Linked DNA regions of Coturnix japonica. The protein of the gene in region 2 purifies or fractionates together with the protein of the main gene of each other region. This does not show direct contact. Links are inferred from orthologs where the notes say so. Each region holds a gene or a part of one and is shown on either strand. Other genes may lie near its edges.

Evidence for each region.
Region 1: the proteins of KCNQ1 (region 2) and NEDD4L purify together in Homo sapiens (affinity purification with western blotting, with the first as the bait; 3 studies listed by BioGRID). This does not show direct contact. The link is inferred for Coturnix japonica from reciprocal best matches to the Homo sapiens genes KCNQ1 and NEDD4L.

What each region holds. Positions count from the first base shown.
Region 1 is NC_029547.1:603,846-608,033, forward strand, and holds the start of NEDD4L (E3 ubiquitin-protein ligase NEDD4-like), read left to right. Parts: upstream 1-1,388; 5' UTR 1,389-1,612; coding exon 1,613-2,770; intron 2,771-4,188. UniProt on the Homo sapiens protein: E3 ubiquitin-protein ligase that mediates the polyubiquitination of lysine and cysteine residues on target proteins and is thereby implicated in the regulation of various signaling pathways including autophagy, innate immunity or DNA repair.
Region 2 is NC_029520.1:11,089,990-11,093,489, reverse strand, and holds part of KCNQ1 (potassium voltage-gated channel subfamily KQT member 1), read right to left. Parts: intron 1,420-3,500; coding exon 1,309-1,419; intron 1-1,308. UniProt on the Homo sapiens protein: Pore-forming subunit of the voltage-gated potassium (Kv) channel involved in the regulation of cardiomyocyte excitability and important in normal development and functions of myocardium, inner ear, stomach and colon.

The DNA of each region.
Region 1 (4,188 bases), on a different chromosome or scaffold from region 2:
TTCTCTCCCCCCATAAGAGCAGAGAATACGTGGTGTGTCTTCATCTTCAGATAAAAAAGAGACTATGGAAAATGGTGTACCTGAAAAATAAGATAAAATCAACACTTGTGCTTGCACAAGACAGTTCCACAGCACTGTGGCTGTGTAGAAGCTATTCATGTTTTTCTTCTTGTTGGCTCCTGGTCCACTTAAAACAATAGGGGATTGTGCTGTCTGCTGGCAGTTGCAAGGTTTGAAGCTTCCATTTGTCTTTGATTGGTCACTTTATGTCTTTTGAGAGCAAGCCGCATGGAAACAGAGGTTTAAACGTCTAGACAGAGCACTGACCTGCCACCGATAGTTTGTTGACAGCACTTCTCAGTGTTCTCCTAAGGAACAGATGTCTGTACATTGAGCTGATCCTACGCTGTCTCTTCTTGTAGATGTGCTTTTAGCTAACCGGGTGCTTCCCCAGCATGTGCGAACCGTTGCGATGGCGGGCGCCCTTCGGCTGCGAGGATCCCCCAGTCACCAATTTCCTGCATTGCAGTGGAGCATATTCAGGGTGTTTGTTCTGCAGTTGGATGTATCCTGCTGGTCTGTTCTGCTTCTGAGGTCTCTTGGCTCTCAGAGTGTAACTGTATTCCGTGCCTGCGATCACGCCCATGGTAGAATTGCTAACTTTCCCACTGGAGGCTGGCCAGTAAAGGGCAGAGTTTCTGTGCGCTGTTTAAGACAAATCGGTACCAAACGGCAATGCGACACCCGTCTCTGGTTTTCTCTCGTCGTTACTGCCCGGTAACACTGGAAAAGGAGCTTTGCCTCCTGTCATTTTGCGCATTTCTCCTGTTTCTACTGAGTGAGAAATCTTTGCTGTGCATAGGGCTGCTTTGTTTGCTGTAATTTTTACTGATTAAAAGGGGCTGTGTGGGCTCACTTGGGCTGCATTGCGCTCCTAGGGACAACGTGAAAGTTGTGGCTTTTTAAAGGCAAGGAGCTTGTTACTTAACCGTGCTATGAGCACAGTTAAAATTGAAAGCGTAACGGTGCTATATTTACTCACGTTCTGCCATGATAGCCTCGTGCTGTAACACACACCAAAAAGTTAAGCTTGAAATATTGTTCCTTATTTGCATGTGGCGTTGACTTACAGCCCTAACACCGAACCGTTTGTGTTGTCGTTAACTTTCCGTGCGCCCTGTGCGAACGCGCCGTGCGGGTACGAGATGAGTTAGATTTATAGCGGCGCCGAGTGTGCTCGCTGCCTCGGTCAGCTGCGCCCTGATGGAAAAGGAGCAGCTGGGAAGGTGCTGTTTCAGGCTCTCGCTGGCATTAAAAAAAAACAACAGAACCCCCACTGGCTTAGATTGGAGAGGGGGAACCGGGCCACGTGACCGCCACCATCCTACCCCATGTCACTGTGTGTAGGAGTGCTGATTGCTCTTACCCAATCATGCCTGGAATGCTGCTTGCCACTTGGGCTATTTCTGCTATCTGTCGCTATCAGTGCTGCAGTGCTAACAGTTTGGCAGATGGGACACTTTTTCTTGGAGTTTATGTCTTTGGTTTTTAACTTCTGGCAGCGCCTGAATTGTTGCCGTTCTCCCTCTCCTTTTCTTCTCTCTGTAAAACCATGGCCCATCGGCTGCGGTTTCATTTTGGCTCTGGGCGAAGCAACACAGCCCCCGAATCCGAGATCCTCGACCGGGAGAGAGAAGATGAGATTTTCATGGCATTCCACACTTTGCCGAGAAGAAGCAGCCCTCACGCTTTCTCCCGACACGGAGCAGATTACGGCGGTGGCAGCGATTTCCAAGAAGTGGGCTCCTTGAAAAGGAGCACCTCCATGTTTATTCCCCAGCTGCTGAACAGCATCAGCGCACGTCCCACCAGGAGCTCCTCCATGCAGATCTCTCTCCAGCGCAAGGCTGCAGATGAGTGCGCGACCCCGGAGACCCCCAAGGAGACACCCCTGAGCAAGGCCTCGGATGTTAGGGAGCATTACGTGTCTCCCGTTGAAAACCATTCATCCTCCCGGAGTAGCCCAGAGGTGGCTCCTGATGATTCTCCACCCAGGCAGACAGAGGAGTTGGGGCAGCAGATGAATGGCACTCTTCGCTGTAACCGTAGGATATTCCGTACTATTCCTCCTAATAACCAGAGCGACGATGCTCTGTCCACTGCCCATGAGAATGAAGCAAAGGAAACACCTTCAGGTTTGAACTTCAGCGGCGTGAGGATTCAGCATCGTGCTTCAAGTGCCGATGTGCCTCAGGTTACTCTGTTGCCCTATGGTTCCGAGGCTCAAAATAATGCTCCCACCCCCGAGCCCCGGCGCTGGTCTCTGCAGCATGTGCCAGACATGTCAGCAAATGCAGGGAAAAAGTTCTTTGTTCTCCAGTTACAGCAGCCGCAGGCAAGTGGTAAAGGTGGCGAGTATAACTTTGGCTTTACTGGGACAAAAGGGGATAGATTGGTCAGGTACCCGCGCATACAGCTGGGGAGGAGCGCTTCCTACCCTGTGCAACCACGGCCAGAGGAAATCCGCCCTGCAGGTGAGGGACTGACTTCAGAACTGCATGGAAACAGCAGGAGCGGGTCAGAAATATCCAGAAGCAATTCAGTAGAGAAAATTCCTCAAGGGAAGGGATGCCTGTTTAAAATCAGACCAGATCAAAACACGAGACAGCAGCACTTCAGAATCCTTGTCACCCGTAATCCCGAGGAGCAAAGTCCAGTGGTTGGTACAGAATGTCGTGGCACCCCTGGTCCTGCAGCAGCCAGCACCGCGGTGAGTAAGATGCTGAGTGTGCTCTGCTAACACTGTACAGAATTGCCATGCAAAGGCTTTTAAACCTGAGGCAACTGGACGGCTCCCTTGTTAGTGCTAGAACATTCGCTGTTTCTCTGGAACCAGCCACTAGTGATCTCTGTTTCAGATCTGCTTTAGCTTTGTCCTCGGCTGTGGTTATGTGCGGTGTAATATTTTGAGATCCTAACGTCACATGTTGTACATAAGATTCTTTTAAAATCAGAACAACCAAATGGCAAATTAAGGGATCATGTTTAATTAAGGATTAAGGAATTCTTTGTGCACTTCGTAGCCTGAAAACAAATGCTTTGATAAAGCCTAAGGATAATGTGCATGTTTGTACCCCTGTGGCTTTAAAAATGTGCATCGTAATGCAATAGGAGCTAAAGTGGTAGAAATCTCATGGTAAGTCTAATGAAGGTAACGGCCTAGCAGGTAAGGTAACAAAAAGTTAGGGGGAAAAAGGAGGCGTTAGGGTGTATTTTTTCACTCGCTTTTGGCCTTCTCTAAGCTAAGGGTTTGTCCTGTTTTTTTGTGTGCCACAAGTCCTGATCAAACAACTTGGGAAACTGTGCTGTCAGTTCTGTTTGCGTTGGTTTTACTTTCAGGTGCCAGGATTCATCTTCTGGTCCTGTTATAACGAATGAAGTCTGAAGTTTCATGTTTTTAAGCCATTTTTGAAAGACCAAAGCAGGAATGAAAGGGAAGGGTTTAGATTAGTCATTTGCTTTAAACTGCTTTACTGTGCAATTTAACACTGCCCACTTGAGTCCCTGAGCTCAGTGATGCTGTATATAGAATAGCAAGTGCTCTGTCTCCAGCTGTGAAAACAGATTCACTGGGAGAGATTTGGGTCTTCGCTGCCTGTGTTCTCATTCTGCTGCGCTTTTGTTCAGTGAAATGCAGTACGGAGAGACAGCTGCTCACTGCAGCAAGGCCGTATGATGACTCTGCAGCTTTCTTGTTGAGAAGCTGGCATCTCCAAGCTATTCTGGTGTAGCCTTCTTTTGAGCCCTTCAGTCGTTATTATGCATAGAAAATCACAAATTACAGCCAAGTGTTAATAAAAATACACAGTGAAAAAGATTCTTAAACAAAGAAGTACAGTTTCACTTCACTTTCTGTCAGCTAAGCAGCTCAGTAAGTAGTGCACAGTCTCTGTCCTGCTAGCCTAGAACATTTCAGCAGCAAAGTCTGGAGTGAAGAATCTTCCTTGATTTTTCTCCTTCGTTTGAATCTCACTGGTGCAGTACATTGCGTTCCACTGTGTTTTATCTCACACTAAAAATGTATGTGTGGTTTTCCTGCTGATCACTGGGTACTAGCAGTTCTTGGAGGACCACCATAGCTGGCTGTATCAGTCAGTGCAGTCAGGCAGCCCCAGTAGAAGCACTGGC
Region 2 (3,500 bases):
GCTCACAGAAACTGTTCAACTCAATAACAAAATCTCAGTGATAAAGGTGGGGTGTTCTTTCATTTCTACTTGTAAAGAGAAAAGCATTAATGTGAAAGTGGGGCTACTATACATTTATTTATTTTAGACATATTTGCTGTCATTTTGGTCCAAGAAGTAAAACAGCCAAAAAAATCAGACTTTCAGATTTCTCTTGCAGATCATTTAATTTATTAAGTCTCTCTTCTAATCAAGGTACAAATGAGAAAGTAAAAAGTTAAGGGGAAAATATATTTTGAAGACAAACTGATGTTGGAGAGTTTACAAATCTATACTTAATAACTCTTCAAAAGTTTGAGCACTTTTAAAGTAAGTGACTACTTTTAAATAGCCACTTTAGTTTTAACAGCTGCTGTTAAATATTGTGAAGAATTTTTGTGGAGGCATTGGTATAAAAATAATATTATTATCTATCACTAGCTTATCCCCACCACTTCCTCACCACAGTCATACTATGCTAATACAGCTGAAAAACTTGCTGAAAAATAAAGCTGGCAGTATTTTGACAGTAGGGGATATTCTATTCAGATCCAGATTTTTTTTTCATCCAATTCACATCCAATTTCACAGACCTTTTGACAGCACAGTTCAGGTTGCACAAACATTTTAAAAGCACAAAATACAAGTAATGCTAAACTTTTGAAAGTAATACCCTTAACAGCTCTTTGCACTGAACCATTTTGGGTTTCCAAACCACAGTCTAGATTTTGCTGAACTTGAATTTACTCTTGGTACGCAGGTACCCCATTTCTTGTTAGAAAGTATTAATCTGTCTTCAAAAAAGAGCCAACATACCTTTAAAAGCTCATCCCTAAATCACTTTGGAAACATGAAACTTTGGCCATAGTCATACATTAACTTGGCAAGCAGACGCATTAGCTGCCAGTGTTGCTGCACCTGACTGCTTAACTGCTGCCTCTGCCAGCAACACCGTTTCTGTAGCTCTGCCAGAGGAAGAGAGTGCATAAGAACCCTCCAGTTTACCTTGGACTAAATCAGTTGAGTAAACTACGAGTAAATGCCTTAAAAAGTCAAAACATTAAGTCACAAAGTCCAGAAGTAAACAACATAAGAAGTACTTTCTTTGCCCTTCCTAGAAGGGCAGGAAAAGTGTTTTGAATCACACATCCCTTTCTGAAATGCACAGAAAATCTGATGTTGCATACCATAAAAACTCAGTGTTTGGGTTTAAGATTCAGAAGTTTAAGGAGTTATTAACAAAAAGCTTTCTCTGGCAATGAATGGATCAACAACAACAAAATAACCTACCGCAGGTAGTGCAAAAAATGATATTGCAAACACTGAAAAACAAGAAGCAATGGTCTTTCCAATCCAAGTCTGAGGCACTTTATCCCCATAGCCAATAGTTGTAACTGTCACCTGCAAGGAAAAATACACAGAGCATTACAGAAAGTTTTAACACGTCAGTTCTGGTTGGCTTTTCTTTATTTCATTGTTATTAATTTATTTTAAAGAAACATTAGTTGCATTCCTAACTCTCCCAGTGACAATCTGTGCGACATTAAGAAGGCAATTCCCTGCTCTCAGTTTGTTTCCTCATCCATAGTAGAATGAAAGAGGTACAGGAAATTGAATTACAATAAAATACGTGTTTAAAATCTTGTAAAGCAAAACCATTAATGTAAGTCTTCGTGGCTTAGTCTACTTTACAGTATATGAGTTTCTGGGATGTGGGCTGCCTGCCCATGCCATACCCTTCCCTCAGAGGGAGGCTGCCAGCAGTTCTGAGCTGCTGATTTTCTTTATGGGCAGGAGATGTTTGCTGGGAGAATTTCAGGGATGTTGCAAAGAAAAACTATATATATACACACACACACTGTAACTGTGGAATACAAATAGGGTCAGACATGAAGTATTCTAGAGAATAATGTTGGCATTTATAGCAAGAGAAGCAGAAAAATTTCCGTACAGCAACAGATCCTTAAAACAGCCTAATGAATCATAAACTCGGACAGAACATCGAGAGCAAGGACAGATAATTTAATGCACACATACAGGAAACATCTGTTGAGTTTGGGTTCCACTGAAGTAAAGATTACCACCATGGTGATGTAGCATAACAAGGCTTAATAAGTCATTATTTTCAGGAGCTCAAGGAAAGAATGGATTTGTTTGAAGCAGAAGGGATAAATTCGGCATCTGAGAGCAATTTAAATTCACCTATGTCAGAAGCTATTCCTGAATTTGGAAATTAGGGAGATTTCTATCGCTGGCTTTGAAGAAGGCTAACCAAACCAGAACATGTGAACTATGTGAAGCTCTTCAGCAGCTGAAGCACATCTTAGCTGCTGGCTTTTCACGTTTCCCTCTGAGAGCATGAGCTTCAGCTGCACAGGCCACAAAAGACATCAGTCCCAGACAGCAATACCCACACATCATCCCTGCTGTGCCTTTAAGCCACTCCCAGTTCACCTGTCTGCTTCACTGCACACTCCCTAACAACTGCAGAAACACAGGCAGCATCTGCAGGGGAGGAGAGAACAAAAGGGAAGAGCAGATTTATAGAAGTGAGATATTCCTTAATGGTGTGAAGGAACAGAGAACTTGGGAAATACATGGTCATGACAGGTGGTTCAGAAGAAGTGCTGCCACATGTCACATTAGTAGCCATTCATTCCTATTAAAAGATGAGACACCAGAGGGACACCATGGCATATTTATGTTCCCACCTGAGAAACACCTGAAGCAAGCCATCTACTCTCACTGACCCCCTTCCAAGCAATTTATCATTTCATGTCTGTCAAATGCATGAAAAGGGACAGCTGTGGCTGCTTGAAGTGATGATGATACAAGTTTGTTGCAAGTCACTGATACATTAAAAAGAAAATATAATGTTTTGGATAAGTTTTTAAGCTGTGTCTCATTTCCAAATATTGTTCCCATTCAAGACAAGGATTAGTAAGGTAAGACCAATACACAAATACCTCGGTCTATATTCTTGATACTGATGAAATACCTTAATTCAAAGCCCTTGAAGGAATTGAAGGACTTATTTTATCCCGTTATCCATGAGAGGTTCCATTAAAGGAAATTCTAAATTCTAATTACAATTTTTCTTCTCACAAAATATTGTCTTACAAAAACAAATGAATTCTGGCAAATGTGATGGCCTCCAGCACCATCTTACATCAAAGATTATGAGTTAAGCTGTCTTATGCCTCAGTTATGAAAAAAAAAATTGATACAATCTTATCACTGAAAAGTAGTGTCAGCTATTCTATATCATAGTCATAATGTCTTGTTTAAACATATACATTAACTAGAAATGTGAAAAGAAATAGAGGCACATGAAAAACTCATACAAATCTGAAAGGTATCTGTTTTTCCTTCCATTCTCTACCAACCTCATCCATTCCCTCTATCAGAAAGATCAGTGATAGAATAAAAGCATCTTATGTGTATTTTGTTTGGGATATATTTTTAAAAGACATTTTGGAAAT